Macaca mulatta: one gene and its partners. The protein of the gene in region 3 purifies or fractionates together with the protein of the main gene of each other region. This does not show direct contact. Links are inferred from orthologs where the notes say so. Each region holds a gene or a part of one and is shown on either strand. Other genes may lie near its edges.

The links. Proteins that work in one complex are often made in the same cells at the same time.
Region 1: the proteins of ENG (region 3) and TGFBR1 purify together in Homo sapiens (affinity purification with western blotting; 5 studies listed by BioGRID and IntAct, with this or other methods). This does not show direct contact. The link is inferred for Macaca mulatta from reciprocal best matches to the Homo sapiens genes ENG and TGFBR1.
Region 2: the proteins of ENG (region 3) and ACVRL1 purify together in Homo sapiens (affinity purification with western blotting; 3 studies listed by BioGRID and IntAct, with this or other methods). This does not show direct contact. The link is inferred for Macaca mulatta from reciprocal best matches to the Homo sapiens genes ENG and ACVRL1.
Region 4: the proteins of ENG (region 3) and TGFBR2 purify together in Homo sapiens (affinity purification with western blotting; 3 studies listed by BioGRID). This does not show direct contact. The link is inferred for Macaca mulatta from reciprocal best matches to the Homo sapiens genes ENG and TGFBR2.

The regions. Positions count from the first base shown.
Region 1 is NC_133420.1:59,257,609-59,262,216, forward strand, and holds part of TGFBR1 (TGF-beta receptor type-1), read right to left. Parts: intron 3,581-4,608; coding exon 3,456-3,580; intron 2,404-3,455; coding exon 2,273-2,403; intron 878-2,272; coding exon 752-877; 3' UTR 1-751. UniProt on the Homo sapiens protein: Transmembrane serine/threonine kinase forming with the TGF-beta type II serine/threonine kinase receptor, TGFBR2, the non-promiscuous receptor for the TGF-beta cytokines TGFB1, TGFB2 and TGFB3.
Region 2 is NC_133416.1:59,095,863-59,100,470, reverse strand, and holds part of ACVRL1 (activin receptor type-1-like), read right to left. Parts: coding exon 4,364-4,608; intron 4,162-4,363; coding exon 3,950-4,161; intron 3,748-3,949; coding exon 3,648-3,747; intron 3,286-3,647; coding exon 3,139-3,285; intron 2,533-3,138; coding exon 2,257-2,532; intron 1,701-2,256; coding exon 1,503-1,700; coding exon of another isoform or gene 1,481-1,502; intron 1-1,480. UniProt on the Homo sapiens protein: Type I receptor for TGF-beta family ligands BMP9/GDF2 and BMP10 and important regulator of normal blood vessel development. On ligand binding, forms a receptor complex consisting of two type II and two type I transmembrane serine/threonine kinases.
Region 3 is NC_133420.1:19,845,446-19,850,493, reverse strand, and holds the start of ENG (endoglin), read right to left. Parts: upstream 3,302-5,048; 5' UTR 3,000-3,301; coding exon 2,933-2,999; coding exon of another isoform or gene 2,852-2,932; intron 1-2,851. UniProt on the Homo sapiens protein: Vascular endothelium glycoprotein that plays an important role in the regulation of angiogenesis. Required for normal structure and integrity of adult vasculature. Regulates the migration of vascular endothelial cells.
Region 4 is NC_133407.1:17,875,898-17,880,505, forward strand, and holds part of TGFBR2 (TGF-beta receptor type-2 precursor), read right to left. Parts: intron 1,710-4,608; coding exon 910-1,709; intron 1-909. UniProt on the Homo sapiens protein: Transmembrane serine/threonine kinase forming with the TGF-beta type I serine/threonine kinase receptor, TGFBR1, the non-promiscuous receptor for the TGF-beta cytokines TGFB1, TGFB2 and TGFB3.

The DNA of each region.
Region 1 (4,608 bases), about 39 Mb from region 3:
AGATAAATAAGCTTTTTGAATTCAAACACTATAGGTTTTTAACATAGAGACTTTCAGCAATTCTACTCATTTCCATTAGAAAGACACAGAAGTGGCACTTACTGGTATAGTACAATCCCATTTTGAAGGCATGTAATGTTCTGAATAAGTGAAAGAACAATAATAGTATACAAAATACCACTGCATAAATTATGTTCCTCACTACTATATGAGGTCATTTTTAGACTCAAGATAAGAGTTTTATAAGTGTTAGTTTTAAGATCCTGAAAAACTATAGAACAGTACATTCAAAGTCTGAATCAAGGAAACACTAGTGGTTCAGAATCCTCTGAGAATGTACTAACCAGGAGCAAATCACTTTCTTTAATAATAAGAAATGTTTCATTATAACTCAGCAATCCAACTCCTTTGCCCTTAAAGATGATCTCCAGCACAGCAGAGTTACCTAAAGTTAAGACCAGCAATCATCTTTTTAAAAAACAAGTTTTGTTAATAAAAAATAAAGGTAGACTACACAACATTTTGTAACTGTCCTGGGAAAGAAGCGTTCATAGTGCACAGAAAGGACCCACACGGCTGTTTCCTGGGTCCGAAGAAATCCTGGGAAGTTTTTAATTGACTTTATTACACTGCTGCAAAAGGAAGCAACATCCTTCTGTTCCCTCTCAGTGAGGTAGAACAATTGACCTCCCAAATTAAAACCCAGGAGCAGATCTGAAGAAAAAAGTAGAGTTCAGGCAAAGTCGTAGAATTACATTTTGATGCCTTCCTGTTGACTGAGTTGTGATAATGTTTTCTTAATCCGCAATGCTGTAAGCCTAGCTGCTCCGTTGGCATACCAACATTCTCTCATAATTTTAGCCATTACTCTCAAGGCCTACAAGAAAATATAATTAAAAAAAAAAATTAATGCATGCACCATTTTCCATTGGTCTGGATAAGAATTTTTACCTGTAAATTTTCTTTTTAAATGACATATACACTTTGTTGTTGTTGTTAAGCATTGTTTGTAATAGCAAATGAGTAGAAATTTCACAAATTTCCATCAATAGGGTACTGGTGTCAGTGCTGGAAAGCAGGTAGACAAAGAGTAACTCACTTAGCAAACCTGAAGAGGTCGAATCCTAAACCAGAGCTGGGCAAAGCAAAGAAGAAATCTGACCTCACACTGAAATTTTAAGTTTGTACTTTGAAGTATCCAGATCAAATTTTTCTTTTTTTTTTTTTTTTGACACAGGGTCTCACTCTGCGGCCCAAAGTGGAATGCAATGGCATGCCCTCAGCTCACTACAGCCTCGACCTCCCAGGCTCCAACAATCCTCCCACCTCAGCCTCCGGAGTAGATCAAATTTCTAAAAGACAAAATCTAGCAGCACTCTCATTTGTTAAAGTATGTCACATGCAAATTCCTTAAGCATGCTGAAATACATTTTATTTGGGCCTGTAGATGTGATTTTGTTGGAGGTAGCAAGCTCTCTTGGTTATCAGAGGTTCTGATGAGTCCTATAATAGTTTAAGATGTAAAACCAACTACTGAACTGAACAGCTTTTTATAGCCTTTTTAAGCTACAAACCTTCAAACCCGGAGGAATATGCCCTGCTTCACCAATACTATAATAGTAACAGCTAGCAACTAAGGAGAGGTTAAATAAAATTCATCTTACGAATCTTTAAATTTACAATTACAAAAACATTTCTAAAACTTTTTGTTAGAGCTGAGGTTGAGAAGCTCAGACACTGCTGGAAAAAAAGCATTTTCCCTAAATTCCTGGTTAATGGTCATCTGGGCAATCAGATGAATAAAATGGAAAATCACTTGAAACAACTTTGTAATCACCTTATCTGAGTTCCTCACCTTACAAAGGGATATTAAGGTTCAGAGAACTAAAGTGATTTGTTCCAAGTCAGACCCTTGAAATGGTAGTCAGGCTGGTCTAGAATACAGGTCTCCTCATTCCTGTCCAGCAACTGTCTATTATTCTGGGTTGCCCTGGCTGAAGGGAGGCATTCACTTAAAAAGTATGTGCTTTAGTTCGCCTGACAGACCTAAACTATGTTCTGATACACTAAAGGCCACTGCAAATGTTCCACGGCCCTTTCAATGTGCTTACAACTGAATATGAAAACCAAATTATTCTGTTTTTACACATTGGTTTGACTGCTATGAAAAAGAAACTTCTTAAAGAAAAGTTTTCCTTAAAGAAAAGCAGCAAACTTTTGCTTACTAAGCAGAAGTTTAGAAAATTGCCTAATATCAAAAAGAAATACTCACTTCGCAGCTCTGCCATCTGTTTGGGATATTTGGCCTTAACTTCTGTTCACAAACAACTTTTCTCATTTCTTCCACTGATGGGTCAGAAGGTACAAGATCATAATAAGGCAGCTGGTAATCTTCATGAATTCCTGTATCAGTTTAAAAAAAAATAATTTTGATAAATGTATTCAGCGAATGCCAAGGCATTAAAAAGGTCACCTGAGAGGCCTATTACAGTGTCTTATTACTAAAGTAGGTAGGTGGAACAGAGATTACAGCTTTCTCTATCTCATCCAAATCTGTATCAACAAGTCACTTCCCTGAGTTGATATTCTGCCCACACCTTGAAACTATTGCCAAGAGATCAATAAAGCCTATTTGAAATGACAGTAAACTGTGAGCTGTGACCACCAGACTGACATTTTCCCCTAGAACCCTATTGTGCAGCAAATGAGATTCTATTCTGTAAGTGCACAGGCTCTCACTTGTACAGGGATATATAGATCCTATCAGTGAGACACAAATCCTATGAGGCAAGTTTAAGGTGCAAGTCCCTTTCTCTACTTGCATCTGTCAATAATATATCCTATTTACTACAATACAGAGAAATACTCTGTCCCTCACTGCTTCAAACACCTAAGGCACTAAGGTCTCAGCCAAGCCTAGGTCCCCAAGCCTAAGAGACTGTTTCCTGAGTAAACATTATAAGTACTCCATCTAAAACGCTAGAAGTTAAGACAAACTAACTCTAGAAAACAACACAATGGTAACATAATTGTATTCTGTGTACGTAATCTATAACTATCAAGTTGGAGAAAATATGCCAAAGAGAAAATATGCCAAAGAAAAAAAATAAATTTGACACCTAGGTACATGCTAGAAACAGCTTCCTAGGTGAGCCTCTCAAGCAGCTGTCCATTCTAAAGAACTATATTCCAGTATAACAAGGGTTTGGGTTCTGATGAGTCTCAAGATTCAAATGGAAACAGGAAGAGAATACACTAGGCTAGAGCTGTGCATGTGCACACCATGGCACTGTCCCCTCCCAAAGGTTTCATCGCCTTTGTTTTCTCTGGCACTCGGTGATGTCCTGTTTCAGATAATGGATTGTGCATAATTTCATTCAATAAAAAAAGAAGACAATTCTCGAACAACTTCTTCTGCTCATGACAAACTGTTGGGGGAGAGGGGAGCAATTTACCACCAATGGAACATCGTCGAGCAATTTCCCAGAATACTAAGCCCATTGCATAGATGTCAGCACGTTTGAAGGATTCAAAATGTTTCATATTTATGGAATCATCAAGAACTTCAGGGGCCATGTACCTAAAAAAAATTTGCAAAAATAACTTTGAAAATCATCCCCTTACTGCCACATTTTGATGAACATCCTTTCAGACATTTCTCTGTACACAGACATATGCACAAAATATTACATAACAAATATTAGACTCAAGAAAAATATTAAATATCCACACTGGTTTGCACATTAATGATGTCAACTAAATCCCACAAAACGCTAAAATAGCAGTTTCACGCTATCTGCCTCATGATCTTGGTTTCCAGTGAAAGACATATGCAACTATTGTGACTGTTAAAGGTGTCCCAATGTACACCACCTATACATGTACTAGGTAGAAACCATGCATTTTAATCTAGAAGTCTTCTCACTGAGGATGAAAGGAAGGGCAGGAATATACTCTAAGGGAAAAAATAATAGGCACAGAAGAATGCCAGTCCTCATACTGAAGCTTCAAAAACCTATGAAAATTATGGGTCAAGACCCACAGAGACCTGCAGCAACCACTGTCAAGGACTCCTTAGCTGGCTGAGAGTGCAGAGTCCCCAGGGAATCCAGAAATCTCAAAATTATACATAAAATTTGAATAGACTAATGCTGCTGGCTCTCCAGCTCTCTCCAAGGCCAAGGAAGTAGTTTGAAGAAATGCTGTGACAGCAAGTGATAAGGGCTTTGGGTCAGAAATGCCCAGGTTCAAATCTCAGCTCTTTGGCTTATCATCCACATGAAGCTGACCATATTATTTAACCTCCTCAAGGTGGTTTCCTCGTCTGTGAATTAAGGGTAACAACACCTACCTAATTAAGTTCTTTTGAAGACCCATGGACTCAACAAATATCTACTGAGGATCTACCATGTATTAGGCACTGTGATGGATGCTGGGAATACAAGGCTGCTCTCAAGCAGCTTGCACCTAATAGAATATACAGGCAAATAAATAAACAGTTACTACATAATGCGTAAGTGCCTCAACGGTCCCAGTTTAGTGTGCTATGACAGCCCCTGGCAGGGACTCCTAAGAATCTTGAGAACTAGAAAAAACTTCCTACAGGAA
Region 2 (4,608 bases), on a different chromosome or scaffold from region 3:
CCACTCTGGCAGTTCATCCCCAGAGTCTTAAGGAATCTAAGCGCCTCGTGAGTCTCCCCAAGGGACTGGTGACACCACAGCCTCCGTTTTCAGTCGATGACCACTAAGGACAAATGAAGTCTGGCATGGGGCTGGCTCCTAGTAGATACTCAGGAAATGAAGACATCCTTGTCCCCAAGAAGCAGGGCTCCAGCCATATCCTGAGGATTGTCCCCAACCTGTCAAGACTCCTGGAAGTCCCTCACCATGGACAGCCTCCTCAAAGGTTGACAATGTTCCCACCAGTGTAGAAGACCCACCCATCCTCCATCCACCCCAGGGTTGAGAGAGCATCAACCACAGGGCTGCCCGGGGCAGGTCCCTCTACCTGCCGCAGTCCCTCTAAATCAGAGTCCCCTGTGGCAACCCACAGTAACAACGAGGCAGCAATAAGCAGGCAGTGCAGGCACTCACATGCATTGTGTGCATGAAGAAATCAAAGGCCAGAGAGGTTTAAGTGCACACAGTGATGATGAGCACTGGCCCTGGAGCAGACTGGCCGGTTTCAGACCCTGATGCTGCCTCAAGCCCGCTGTCATTCTGTGCCCCCATCTCCTCAACTGTACAATGGGGACAATATGAGGTCAGGCACTCATTCTATCTACAGCAATAACGGCCACTAATATTTAGCTCTAGATATTGTTCTAAATACTTAGATTATCTCAACAACTGGAAGCTATTTTTATTCTTTCTTTCTTTATTTATTAATTTTTTTTTTTTGAGAGAGGGTCTCACTCTGTCACCCAGACTGGAGTGCAGTGGTGCGATCTCGGCTCACTGCAACCTCTGCCTCCCAGGTTCAAGCAATTCTCCTGCCTCAGCCTCCCGAGTAGCTGGGATTACAGGCGTGTGCCACCAGAGCTGGCTAATTTTTGTATTTTTAGTAGAGACAGGGTTTCGCCATGTTGGCCAGGCTGGTCTCGAATTCCTGACCTCAGGTGATCTGCCCGCCTCGGCCTCCCAAAGTGCTGGGATTACAGGCATAAGCCACCGCCCCCATTTTACAAATGAGGAAACTGAGGCACAGAGAGGCCAAATAACCTACCCATGGTCATGGCAAAATCAGCAATAGAACCCAGGAAGTCTGATTCCAAGCCTATGGTCTTAGCCACTAAGCAATACCACTGCCTTGCCCATATCAAAGAATCAAATAAGATAATACATGTAAAGTATATAGCATGGCATCTGGCACATATTTAAGCTCAATCAATGTTAGCTGCTATTAATATTTCTGTTATTATCACGTACAAGATTTCACAGCCAGACTCACAGACCCCGTTATCTGTTTTTAAGGTTTATACCTTAAAAGGTCACTCAGCTGAATCAGCTGGTGGGCTGCATGGAAAGGGTGCCAGGAGGTCTGGCTGCAAACCTCCCAGGCCATGGGCACTGGCCATGGCAGGAAGCCCCTGGCTCCACGGGCCAATTGCCCTTTCCCTACCCTGTGTAGGGTGGACACTCACCGTTCACGATGGTCCGGCGGGCGATCTCCCACAGCACCAGGCCAAAGGCCCAGATGTCAGTCCACTTATAGGACTCAAAGCAGTCCGTGCGGATCTGCTCATCCAGCACCTCGGGTGCCATGTACCTCTTGGTGCCTACTCTCGGGTTGTTGCCGATGTCCAGGTAATCGCTGCCCTGTGAGTGCATCACAGCCAGGCCTGTGGGGGTGAGGCCTGTCACTCCTGTCCCTCTCCCTGACCTGGGGTCCAGGGGGCAGGCAAGGTGGGGACTGAGAGAAGCAGTGGGACAGAGAGGGGGAGGCAGATGGAGACCTGCATGGAGATGGGCTGGAAGACAGTGACCACAGAGAGAACCACCGCCCCAGGTACTCTTTGCTTATGTAGTGCTCTTTAGGTTCTCAAGAACCCAGCGAGATGTGAGTGGGCAAGGCAGGCATTATGATGCCCACTTCATGGAGCAGAGCCGGAGGCTGGTGCCGGGGAGGGATATAGTTAGCGAAGCCAGGAATGAGAATCCAGGTTTCTGGCTCCTGCCTCCTTTCTCCCAACTCCTGGAGCCAGGATGGTATGGTGGAAGGAGTCTGGTTTGAAAAGGGTGTTCAGACAACTCATGCGGTCTTGCAGAGGAGAACTGAGACAACATGCACCTCTGTTTTCAAGCGCCCATCATGGTCACCGCCCATAGGCAAAGGAGAGGAGAGAGCACGAGCTGTGCCCACCTGTGAAGGGTCTGCCCCTGCCCTGCCCAGCTCACCCAGGTCAGCAATGCAACACTGCAGGTTGCTCTTGACCAGCACGTTGCGGCTCTTGAAGTCACGGTGGGCAATGGCCGGTTTGCCCTGTGTACCGAAGATCTCCACGTGCAGGTGTGCCAGGCCACAGGCTGCGGACACAGCTAGCCTCAGAGCCAAATGCGGCTCCAGCGTCTGTCTCTGCAGAAAGTCGTAGAGGGAGCCGTGCTCGTGGTAATGCGTGATGAGCCACAGCTGCGTGCTCGAGTTGCGGGAGGTCATGTCTGAGGCGATGAAGCCTGTGCACAGAAGGGTCGGGTGACTCAGCCAAGGGGCTGGGGCTAAGGGAGGCTGGAGTGGTCAGGGTCAGGGTGGGGTCGGGGGAGAGGGAATGGGCTGGGTCACTGCTAAGCAAGGTCTGGGGTGGGGGTTGATGTGGCTTAGGTCAGAGACAGAGCTGGAGTCAGAGGTTGGGTCTGGGCCTGGCTTAGTGGCTTGCACCTGTAATCCCAACACTTTGGGAGGCCAAGGCAGGAGGATCGCTTGAGCCCAGGAATTTGAGACCAGTCTGGGCAACATAGGGAGACCTCGTCTCTACAAAAAATAAAAAAGTTAGCTGGGCATGGTGGCACATGCCTGTGGTCCCAGCTACTCAAGAGGCTGAAGTGGGAGGATCGCTTGAGCTCAAGAGATTGAGGTTCCAGTGAGATTGCACAACTGCATCCCAGCCTGGGTGACAGAGCGAGGCCCTGTCTCAAAAAAAAAAAAAAAAAAAAAAGAGGTTGGTGTTGCAGGTGGGCTGGGAGTCCTTCAGGGTTCTGTTAATGTCTGGAGGTCTGTGAATTCGAGCCCTGAGTGCAGGAGGGCAAAGCCCCAGGCCTGGCACAGCCGGCCCCTCCCCTTGCCTAGGATGTTGTCGTGTCTGAGCAACACTGTGTTGTAGATCTCAGTCTCCCGGAACCAGGACTGTTCGTCCCTCGAGGAGAAGATCTTGACGGCCACACTCTCACCGTGCCACAAGCCCCGCCACACTTCGCCATAGCGGCCTTTTCCTGATGGCCAGAGGGGAAGGTGAGGGTTACACACTGGGCACACAGAGCCCTGGAGGAGCCCCTTATCTTGATGCTGTGCTGCCTCCCTCGCCCACCCCACCCACAGAACCCCTGACCCTTAGGTTTAAGTTAATCCAGACCCAAACCCAGCGGCAGGCCACCCCCAGCTGCCTCTCGTTCCACCCCGGTCCTGCAGAAAGAACCTAGCCCTGGCCCGTCTCCAGCCCACTCCCTGCCCAGCAGAATTCCAGTTCTGACCCAGGCCTGGCACTGCCTGTGATTCCGGAAGCCAAGAACTCCCTCACCCCTCAAGGCTCATGAGAGCCCTTGGTCCTCATCCACCGGGCTCACCCACTGCTCACCCACACACTCCACCAAGGCAACCTGCCGTGCCACTGTCCTCTGCACCAGGAAGGGGAGCCCCGAGCCACTCCCTGTGGTGCAGTCACTGTCCAGGAGGTCCTGGGGGTATGGAGAGTCCACTCAAAAGCTGCCCTAACCAGCCGCAGCCCCATTCTCCATCCTCAACCTGGGACCTGCTGGGTCACTGCAAGCTCCTCACTCGCCCAGCTCCCCACCGGCTCTACTCTCTGGATGACCCCTCTGATTCCGCAGTTGCTATCTGCCCCACTCCACCCTGTGTCCCAGGTCCCCAGGCCCATACCCCCAACATGCTGTCGCCCTGCTCAGATGCTTTCAGGATGAGACTGGACTCTCCCAGCTCGCTGTGCAGGCCCCGCTGCTTCTCCTGCCTCCGTCGGACATGCCACAGGCCCACGACACCCAGGGCCACCAGGGCCAGCAAGGCCAGCACGGGGCCCAGGATCAGGGCCAGCTGGCTGTCTGTTCCCGGCTGCTCCGAAGGAGTTTGGGTGGCTGGGGGAGGGGACATTGAGGCTCAGCTTGCACTAGGTCAACTTCCCCCATCTTGGGCAGACCATTCTGCCAGTTAAATCCCAGAGTCTTGCCCGCCCCCCCGCCCCCAGCCCCTTTATTGGCCAGAGCATGAGAGGAAAGGAGGGAAGGGAGGGCAGGGGCTGAGAAGATGGGGAGGGAGTGCTGGGGCAGCTGGACGTACCCTCCAGCACCAGGGACACGTTGCGGTTGCAGAGGTGGCTGTCACAGCAGTAGTGGTTGACGAACTCGGTGGGGCGCCCCCTGCAGAGCTCCCTGTGCAAGTTCCCGCAGCCCCGATGTTCCTGGGGGTGCCTCCCCTCCTCCCGCACCAGCACTACTGTGCACCAGGCCCCCTGGCAGGTAGGCCCCCTGCAATGTGGGCTCTCACATGTGCAGGTCACCAGCGGGCCCCGAGAGGGCTTCACG
Region 3 (5,048 bases):
CTGGGATTACGGGCACCCACCATCACGCCTGGCTAATTTTTGTATTTTAAGTAGAGACAGGGTTTTGCCATGTTGGTCAGGCTGGTCTTGAACTCCTGACCTCAGGTGATCCACCCTCCTCAGCTTCCCAAAGTGCTGGGGTTACAGGCGTGAGCCACTGCACCTGGACTGCTTATTCTTAAAACAAAACAAAAGAAAACAAAAAAAACCCCAACATGACAGGAAAGTGTGTCTTAGAAAGTCAAAGTCCCAGCCAGACACAGTGGCTCACACCTGTAATCCCAGCACTTTGGGAGGCTGAGGTGGGTGGATCACGAGGTCAGGAGTTCGAGACCAGCCTGGCCAACATGGCAAAACCCCCTGTCTACTAAAAATACAAAAATTAGCCGAGTGTGGTGGCCGGCACTTGTAATCCCAGTTACTCAGGAGGATGAGGCAGGAGAATCGCTTGAACCCGGGAGGCGGAGGTTGCAGTGAGCCTAGATTGTGCCATTGCACTGCAGCCTGGGTGACAAGAGCAAGACTCCATCTCAAAAAAATGTTAAAAAGAAAGTGAAAGTCCCATAGAGAAAACCCCAGGCCACAGAACAGTGAGAGTGGGTTAAATAGAAAATTCTATTCCAGAATTTTCTCTATTGCATATTGTACATTATTACTATTTTAATGTTGCCGAAATGGAATTATTGTTGTTTGGGCACCTAACAATGTGTCCCTGACATCCATCCATGGCAGTGTTCATATAGCTCTGTCTTCTTGGTGCCTATTGCATGATATTCCATGGTAATTTATTAAGAGTCTCTGCTCATGGACATTTAGATCATTTCCAGTTACTGGATTTTTGTTACAGGTACCCATGGACCACACATCTTTACAGAGTTGGACGAGTAACTCTAGAAGGCTGACTTCTGAAGGTTGATTTGTGAGGGTAACAAGTTACACGCAAGGTACAGTTTTAGGATATTCTTCCAAGTGGTGGCCCCAAATTCTAGACCCATTTCTAGGATGTCGGGGTCACTCCTACCCCCAGCCCCGGCATGGAGATCTGGGTTCCAGGCCCTGGTCCCAGGCTCCCCTCTGCCTTCCATGGGCCTCAGCTTCCCAGACCATAAATGAGTTGGGTTGATGGTCTGTTGTATCTTTGAGCCTGTGACCCCTGGTGCACTGGGACCAGCTCCTACCTGTTCATAGAAGCAGACTGAGACATTTCCAGGAGTTTCTCCAACTGGCTGTTACATAGCTATTACTATATATTTTTAAAAGAGCACGAATGTCCAAACGCATTTCTTCCTAATCGTTTTACACCCCTGTCATCTCTGCTCTCGATGTGATCTGCGCCTGCAGAGACTCTGGAGAACCAACTGCCAGGTGCACTGGGCACTGATTCCCATCCACAAGCTTGGTGAGTTGGTGGCTTGAAGTCAGCCAGGTGGGAGTACTTAAACGCTGTGGAAATCCACAAACGCTACAGACCGAGCCCCCCACCCTGTTGTTAATTATTTACCAGCACACCACTGCCTTTGATCCTTAAAAACCAGGCCCTAAATGTCTGCATGCACCTTTCTGTAATGACCAAGAGGAAGAGAGTGTTACTGCAGCGAGCAATGCGTGGGAGGGAGATCTTGGAGCTTAGGTAGGGGCTTCGTCTTAGCCGTGTGAACTTGGCAGGTTAGAGCCTCCATTTTCTCTTCTGTAAAATGGGGACGATGACGGCAGCCATCTTGCAGGGTCGTTGTGAGCCGCATTAAGAAGGTTTGCCCTATCACACCTTGCTAGGAGCAAACATTTAGGGAGCCTCAGGCTAGGAGTCAAATCCCTGCTAAGTCACTTAATATGTCTGAGACTCAGTTTCCTATCAGTCAGGTGGTGGGCAGAGCTTTGGAGACCTAGAATGAGGGACTCTAAAATGCCGTCAGGTGGGGACGGGGGGAGACGGTGGCTGCCCCACCGCTGTTTTCCTTCCCCTTCCTCCCCACACTCGCAGCCCCCTTCTGCCCCTCTTCCCCCAGATCCATCAGAAAGCCCCTGGATGCGCAGGTGGGTCAAAGGATTGTCCACAGGACCGGCCAGTGGCTTGAGGTGGCCGAGGGATAGGGAGTGGGACGTGGGGCTGGGGGTCCCTGGCTCCTCACGGCCCCTCCTCTTGTCAGTTTCAGAAAGCAGCACAGGCCATGACTCCTTGGAAGAGCCCCCCAGGCTGAGGAGCCCCCACAGAATCCCTAACTTGGCCGGCACCCACTCCCGCACCCTTCCTGGAGATCAGGGAGGTGGGAGGGAGGCAGAGCAGGGCCCTGCAGCCTTGGCCTGTTCGGTTCTAGGAGCTACTCAAAGGCCCTGGGGAAGGTGAGCTGGAGGAACTTAAAAATAAAACAACACAGAAGGGGCCAGTCTGTCAGAGCCCTCTCTGCAATGATCCCTCACCACCAACCTTCTCGGCAGCTGAGGGAAGTCTGTTGTCATTCCCGCTTTGCTCAGAGGCCCGAAGGCAGTCCCCCAAGATCACACCACAAGGAAGTGCCTATGTGACATTTGAACCCAGAGCCAGTGCTCAGAACCCAGGCTATGGGCCCTCCTTCCCATCCATTCCTCACGGGGAAACTCAAGGCCCAGAGAGGGCAGGAAACTCTCCTGTGGCTGCACAGCATTCTAGGACCTAGGCTTCCCGGGGAGTAATGGAACACAGCTGGGTGAGCAGACGCCAGAGACCAGGGTTGAAGTGAAAGAGTCAGCCCAGTTTGCCCGAGGCTTTCCAACACTGAAAGTCCTGTATAATCGTTTAGTTCCAGCAAACTGGGAGGGTCGGTGACCCTCCAAAGCCCCATGGATGACTCCGCTGGGCCTGAGCTCAGGATACAGGAAGGAGGCCGGGAATACTTGGGGCCTGGTCTGTGCACCAGAGGCCGAGTCTCCCCACCCCGGGTCCCTGGACACCTACTTGTGGGGCTGAGGCTGCAGCCGGCCAGCAGCAGGGCAACAGCCAGAGGGAGCGCGCCGCGGTCCATGCCGTCCACGCGGGGTCCTGTGCGCTGGGCCTTATCCGGTGTCCAGAGGCAGGGCTGCGGGTGGGCGCCGGGGCCGGCGTGGGCTTGCGCGGGGACCCGAGGGGAGCAGGCGGCCGGAGCGACGGCGTCCCTGCTCCAGCCTTCTGGGGTGGCGGCCGAGGGGTCAGGAGAAGTGGACACAGGGACGCGGGGCTGGGCTGGGGTTGCTGTCCGAAGGATGGGCGGGGAGGGGTGCTGGGCTCCAGAGGATGGCAGTGACGGCAGCAGTCCTGGCCCCAGGGCGCAGATGAAGGCTGTGGTCTGACCGGCAGCAGGGAGCTCCCGGCTCATCCAGCCCGGCCCAGGGAGGCAGGAAATGCGCTTCCTTAGAGAAGGGGCTGGGCCAGGCCGCCTGCCAACCGGGTAGAGGAAGTGCCACGGGCTTTGTCACTGGGTGGGGGGCCCTGGGATGGGGGGAGGCAGTGGGGTGGGAGGGCCCAGGCTCTAGGCTTGTCTCCCCAAGCACCCCACCCTCCCATCCCACCCTCTCCAAGGCCGGCGGGTGGGGACGCATCAGGCAGCCCCACAGATGAAAACAATCACCCTAACAGCCCACCGAGCGGGCCTTTCACGGGGCTGGGCTTGGCTAAAGTAGTTCCTGTGGAATTTGTGACCCCCTGAGCTCAATGATCCCATTTTGCAGATGAGGAAACAGAGATCCGATGTGTTGAGATCACTGGTTCAAGAAGAGGGTAGCGCTGGGATCCTGCCCACCTCCACCACCTCATGTCTTGTCAGGCACCAAACCCGGCCTACTAAGTGCAATTGACATGGGGCTGCCTAGCAGGCGGGAAAACTGTGGCACAGCAAGGTGGCTACGGCTGGGATCTCTGGGCTCAGAGTAGCTGCCCAGGGCCACACACTTCATATCTGACCCCTTCCTGGGTGGAAAATCCTTCATGGACAAAACACAGCTCCAGGCCAGGTGCAATGGCTCAAGCCTATAATCCCAGCACTTTGAGAGGCCAAGGCAGGTGGATCACTTGAGGTCAGGGGTTCAAGACCAGCCTGACCAACATGGTGAAAACCTGTCTCTACTAAAAATACAAAAATTAGCCGGGCATGGTGACATGCGCCTGTAGTCCCAGCTACTTGGGAGGCTGAGGCTAGAGAATCACTTGAATCCAGGAGGCAGAGGTTGCAGTGAGCCGAGATCAGGCCACTGCACTCCTGCCTGGATGATGGAGTGAGACTCGGTCTCAAAAAAAGAAAAAAAAAGAAAACTCCAAATGATGGGGACTTTAATGGCACTTCTGAAGTCACATGGCCCTGGGTTCAAATCCTACTCTGCTTGCTTGAGCCATGAGACCTTGGACAAAGCCCCTCAATTCTCAGCGCCCCCTGCTTGCAAAGTGGGGTACGATGCCTTCCTGGCTAAGTCATTATGAGATTTCTGAGGGTGAGGACGCTACAGCACTGAGCCCTGGGACATACGGGAGATGCTTCCCCATCAGTGCTCCCTGAGCTGGGTGACAGTCCCCAAACTGTCCCATGTTCATTCTGCAAACAGTAAGCGCACCTACTATGTGCCCACCATGGTGCTACTCAGAGGTAGCACCCAGGGCCAGGCCCATGGAAGCTCAGAGAAGGAAGCCTGGGCCACCTGGAGGGGCTGGCATTTAAGCCTGCCATTTGAAAGACGGGGTGAGTTGGGGGTGGGGAGAAGAAGGGGTGAGGAGGATATGCCAGGCAGGGGTGCCAGACTAAGCAAAGGCACAGAAGCAGGAAGCAGTCGGACCACCGTGAGACCAGCAGGGGTGTGGTGGGGACAGGAAGCTGGAGAGGCAGAGTCTGGCCCTGCATTGGGAGGGCCTCGAATGCCAGGACTTTGTCCTCAGGGCCACTGGGCATCATGGAGAGTTCTCGAGCAGAAGGACGCTGGCAGAGCTGGGCTTTGAGAGAGCAAATCTTTGTGTGTGCTGGCAGGACCCACGGTGAGATGGAGCCAGAAGGTTCTTCTCCCTGGATCTACCTGCCCTGGGTCACAGGTGGAGAAACTGAGGCCCAGGG
Region 4 (4,608 bases), on a different chromosome or scaffold from region 3:
AGTGAGTTGATATTATCATTCCAAGGAATGTTTCTCATTGGCATGTATTAGAAACAGTTTTTCTTCTCAAGAGGTCATTGCATGGCTCATTACTCTGGCACATTAGGCTGCCCATGTTTCGATGTTTACCTCAACACTGTGTGTGCTGCCATGGACACAGGGCTGACTGAGCAGTAACCATATGCTTCAGAGTGTGTCCTGCCACCTGGCTAAAGAAGACAGTGCTGCTCTCCACAGACTCCACTGTGTGAAAACACTGGGCTTGTCATTTATAAGATGTTGTGGTGATTTCTAATCACCTTCCGATAGTTTCTTAGCCAAAAACATTTCCATTTTAATCTGTGAGAGTGCTTCAAGAGCGGAAGCGCTCACTCAGTTGACAAGTACTTATTTTACTTTCAATGTTCGAGGCATTGTGCTAGGTATCTTGGGTGACCATGTGGATGTAGATTTGGACTTCAGGGAGATCCATGACATTATTAATAGGCCTTCCACGACCCTATTAATACAAAGAATCATACAAAGAAACCAACACAACTACAGCTAATATAGAGTAGAAAGGACTGAGTACAACCATAAGAGAGGGAAAAAATAGAGGTAAAGTACTGACAGTGCTTGAAAAAAGGAAAAAGCATTTGCTGGAAGAGAAATGAGAATTGATCCAGGAGGAAAAAATGTGCTGAATTGGGAGGGATTTGAAGACAGGAGGAGAAATGCTGTCCATTAGCAAAAATGCTCAGGCAGGAGAGAGCAGAGCATGCTCAAGGCAGACTCGGTACTTTGGCTAGATTCTCTAAACCAGCGTCCAGAGTATAGGGCTGTTTGAGATAAGAGCCAGGAGATACAGATCAAGAGGTAGGGTGAGGCCAGGCTCAAGGTAAAGGGAATCTAGCACTATCTCTAACTTACCTGCCCGCTGTTAGCCAGGTCATCCACAGACAGAGTAGGGTCCAGACGCAGGGAAAGCCCAAAGTCACAGAGACAGCAGGTCAGGTCGTTCTTCACGAGGATATTGGAGCTCTTGAGGTCCCTGTGGACGATGGGCATCTTGGGCCTCCCGCACGGAGTGTGATCACTGTGGAGGTGGGCAATGCCCCGGGCGAGGGAGCTCCCCAGTTTGCGCAGGTCCTCCCAGCTGATGACATGCCGCGTCAGGTACTCCTGTAGGTTGCCCTTGGCATGGAAGGCAGTGATCAGCCAGTACTGTTTCCCCAACTCCGTCTTGCGCTCCTCAGCTGTCAGGAACTGGAGTATGTTCTCATGCTTCAGGTTGATGTCTGAGAAGATGTCCTTCTCCGTCTTCCAAGAGGCATACTCCTCATAGGGAAAGATCTTGACTGCCACTGTCTCAAACTGCTCTGAAGTGTTCTGCTTCAGCTTGGCCTTATAGACCTCAGCAAAGCGACCTTTCCCCACCAGGGTGTCCAGTTCAATGGGCAGCAGCTCTGTGTTGTGGTTGATGTTGTTGGCGCATGTGGAGCTGATGTCGGAGCGGTCGTCTTCCAGGATGATGGCACAGTGCTCGCTGAAGTCCATGAGCTTCCGTGGCTTGCCAGCTTCCCAGGATGAGCTCAGCTTCTGCTGCCGGTTAACGCGGTAGCAGTAGAAGATGATGATGACAGATATGGCAACTCCCAGTGGTGGCAGGAGGCTGATGCCTGTCACTTGAAATATGACTAGCAACAAGTCAGGATTGCTGGTGTTGTATTCTGATGGGGAAACAAAACAAGGAGAGAAGGAGTTGGATGTGGTAGGTATGTACTGTCAGGAAGCGGGTTCATGCCCGAACATCTATAGATTTTAGCGTCTGTATAGTTTTTGTAGATACTACATTGTTAATTTTTATTTCAGGGATGCCAGTGCACACTTGTTCAGTCTTCCCTGCCTCTGGCCATCTATTTGACATCTCCTACTCTTCCTTCAAATTTCAGCTTAAATGTCACTCCTTAAGAGAGACCTAGAAAAACTTGGAAAATTGTCTTATTTTATACATTTTCATTGCATCTTATACCTTTCCTAGGTAACAATTCAGTGCAACTTAAATTAAATGACCTATGACTCCACCTCTTGATTTCACGTCTGTCTTTCCCCACTTTCCCCATCCCCCACAGACAGGGAACTCCATGCTGGCAGGGACCATGTCTTCTTCACTACAGTAAACTGCACGTAGCACACGGCAGATCCTCAATACTGCCAAATAAAAAGACAAAGCATTTATTGAGTGTTATCGAAGCTCAGAACATTGGGAACGTGGAAAAAAATGACACAGCTTCTGCCTTCAAAAAATTTGCATGTATGATATCTGGTAAAAACACAGAGCATGCCACGGTTTCCACCAAAATCTTTGCTCTTTTTCAAGCTCCAACGTGTTCTGCCCTGATCAGCATTCAGGCTACCCTAGGCCTATGGGTGACAGGGAGAGGAGTCCGTGGAAAGGATCTCTTTGGACAGGTATCTTACACCACCCACCATTTCTCTTTTCAGTGTGCATGTAAATTGTAGTTTCATGGAACTGAAATATTTAATAGCAACGATGGAAACATTGCCACAAAGGTAAGATCAGTTAACAATGGAAACGTTGCAGTTTTATGACTTGGAATTCCGGAGCAGGCCCCTGTGAGCTGATGAATAGAGTCCTTAGCACCAGATATCTAACTATAATATCTTGTGCTTCAAACTTTGGTTCATATGCTGGCCTTGTTGGCTCTGGTGAAACAGTTTTCCTCTTTGGAAGAAGGACATGAATAGAAACAGACAGTGGACAGGAGACAGCAAAAGGCAGCTCTAGTTCAATGGGAGCTTGTGCTGGGCTGTTTTCATTGGGCAAACATGCCAGAATTCTACTGCTTTATGTGTCATCTATCCGCCCTCCAAAGTACCCATTAATCATGCTCAGATCCTAGAATCATTCGTTAAATATATCACTACTGAGTGTCTACGTTGGGCATGGCACTGCCCTCAGAGTACCCAATAGAGGACTTAGGGCATATATACAAATAAGGAATATATGGCATCTGGGATAGGGGCTAAATGTACAATGCAATCTATATGTTAGTGGAATGTGGAAGAGTTTAGAGAAACATGGAAGGCACAGTAGCAAAAAATTGCCTTTAAGTTGGTCTCTGAAGAATGGGAAAAGTCAGTGATGAGTGGAAAGAGTGCTCTGTTCAGGAGAAAGAATATATGATCTATCTAAGGAAGAGCAATTCTCCCATACTGACCACCCTGCACCTGGGGAATAGAAAGGAAAAAACGGGTAGGTGGTAGGGAAACAAACTCCATGTCAGAGAAGGATCTTTTGATTATTCAATTGTCCGTTTTCACCTACAGTAGGTGTTTGAAGAGAAAAAAAAAAGAAGTGATGAGAATATAGTCTAGGTGGAATGAGGATACAACCAAATTCTCTCGAGGGGAACCTATTACCTAAATGGTATTGATAAAGGAGTTAAGAAGAAATTACTTGGGCAGATAGTAAGGGTATGGGAGTCCAAGGTAAGGCTTTTCGTTTTAATGAAAAGCAGCCCCAAATCATTTGCTAACAAACAGCAGCCTGTAAAGTCGAGCTTCAGACACAGGCAAGCTGGGAGCTTGCACGGGTGAATGCCGGCAGGAAGTAAGGAGATGTTCAAGACGGTGGCTCCATCTTCCCTTCTCTGTCAGCCATGTGTACAGTAAAGAGCAGACAAGATGGTGCTGATCAACTGGAAAGTCCATTTGCATAAGATTAGGGTGGGGTGACCAGTCCTCCCCATGCACTATGTAAACGTCATACCTGAATGAACCAATCTGTGAGCCCTATGTAAATCAGACACCGCCTCCTCAAACCGGACTATAAAATCCAGCACATTCACCGCCAGCCCGTCGTTTCTGCTTGGAGACCTCTTTCTCTATAGAGAGTTGTTTCTCCTTCTCTTCTCTTCTGCTTATTAAACTCCTCTCCTAAACTCGTGTGTGTTCATGTCCTAAATTTTCCTGGCTCACGATGATGAACGCCAGGTTATATACAGCATCTGATACTTTCGTGTTTTTTTTTTTTTTTTTCCTGAAGATGGAGTCTTGCTCTGTCACCCAGGCTGGAGTGCAATGGTGCGATCTCTGCTCACTGCAACCTCACCTCCTGCCTCAGCCTCCCAAGTCGCTGGGATTACAGACGTGCACCATTACGCCCAGCTAATTTTTTTTTTTTTTTTTTTTTTGTATTTTTAGTAGAGACGGGGTTTCACCATGTTGGCCAGGCTGGTCTCGAACTCCTGACCTCATGATCTGCCTGCCTTGGCCTCCCAAAGTGCTGGGATTACAGGCGTGAGCCACTACACCTGGCCCAGAATCTGATACTTTCATTTAACAAAACACAGTGAGAAATGAAGCTAGTATATATCAATTTTTAAGGTTTAATATGATTATTTGTTCTTAAGGTAAGTCTAAGTAGAAATGCCAACTTCCACTGACTGTATATTCTAAATGAAAATCTTGGGTCTAGTAACCAGAGAAGTAACCCCAATATATCAGAATTCCAGAAACCAAGAGAAAAAAAATTAACATTTTTTGGAAAGATACATGAATGCATTTAAAAAATATAGGGAAAGTGAGAAAATTTGGTGACTGACC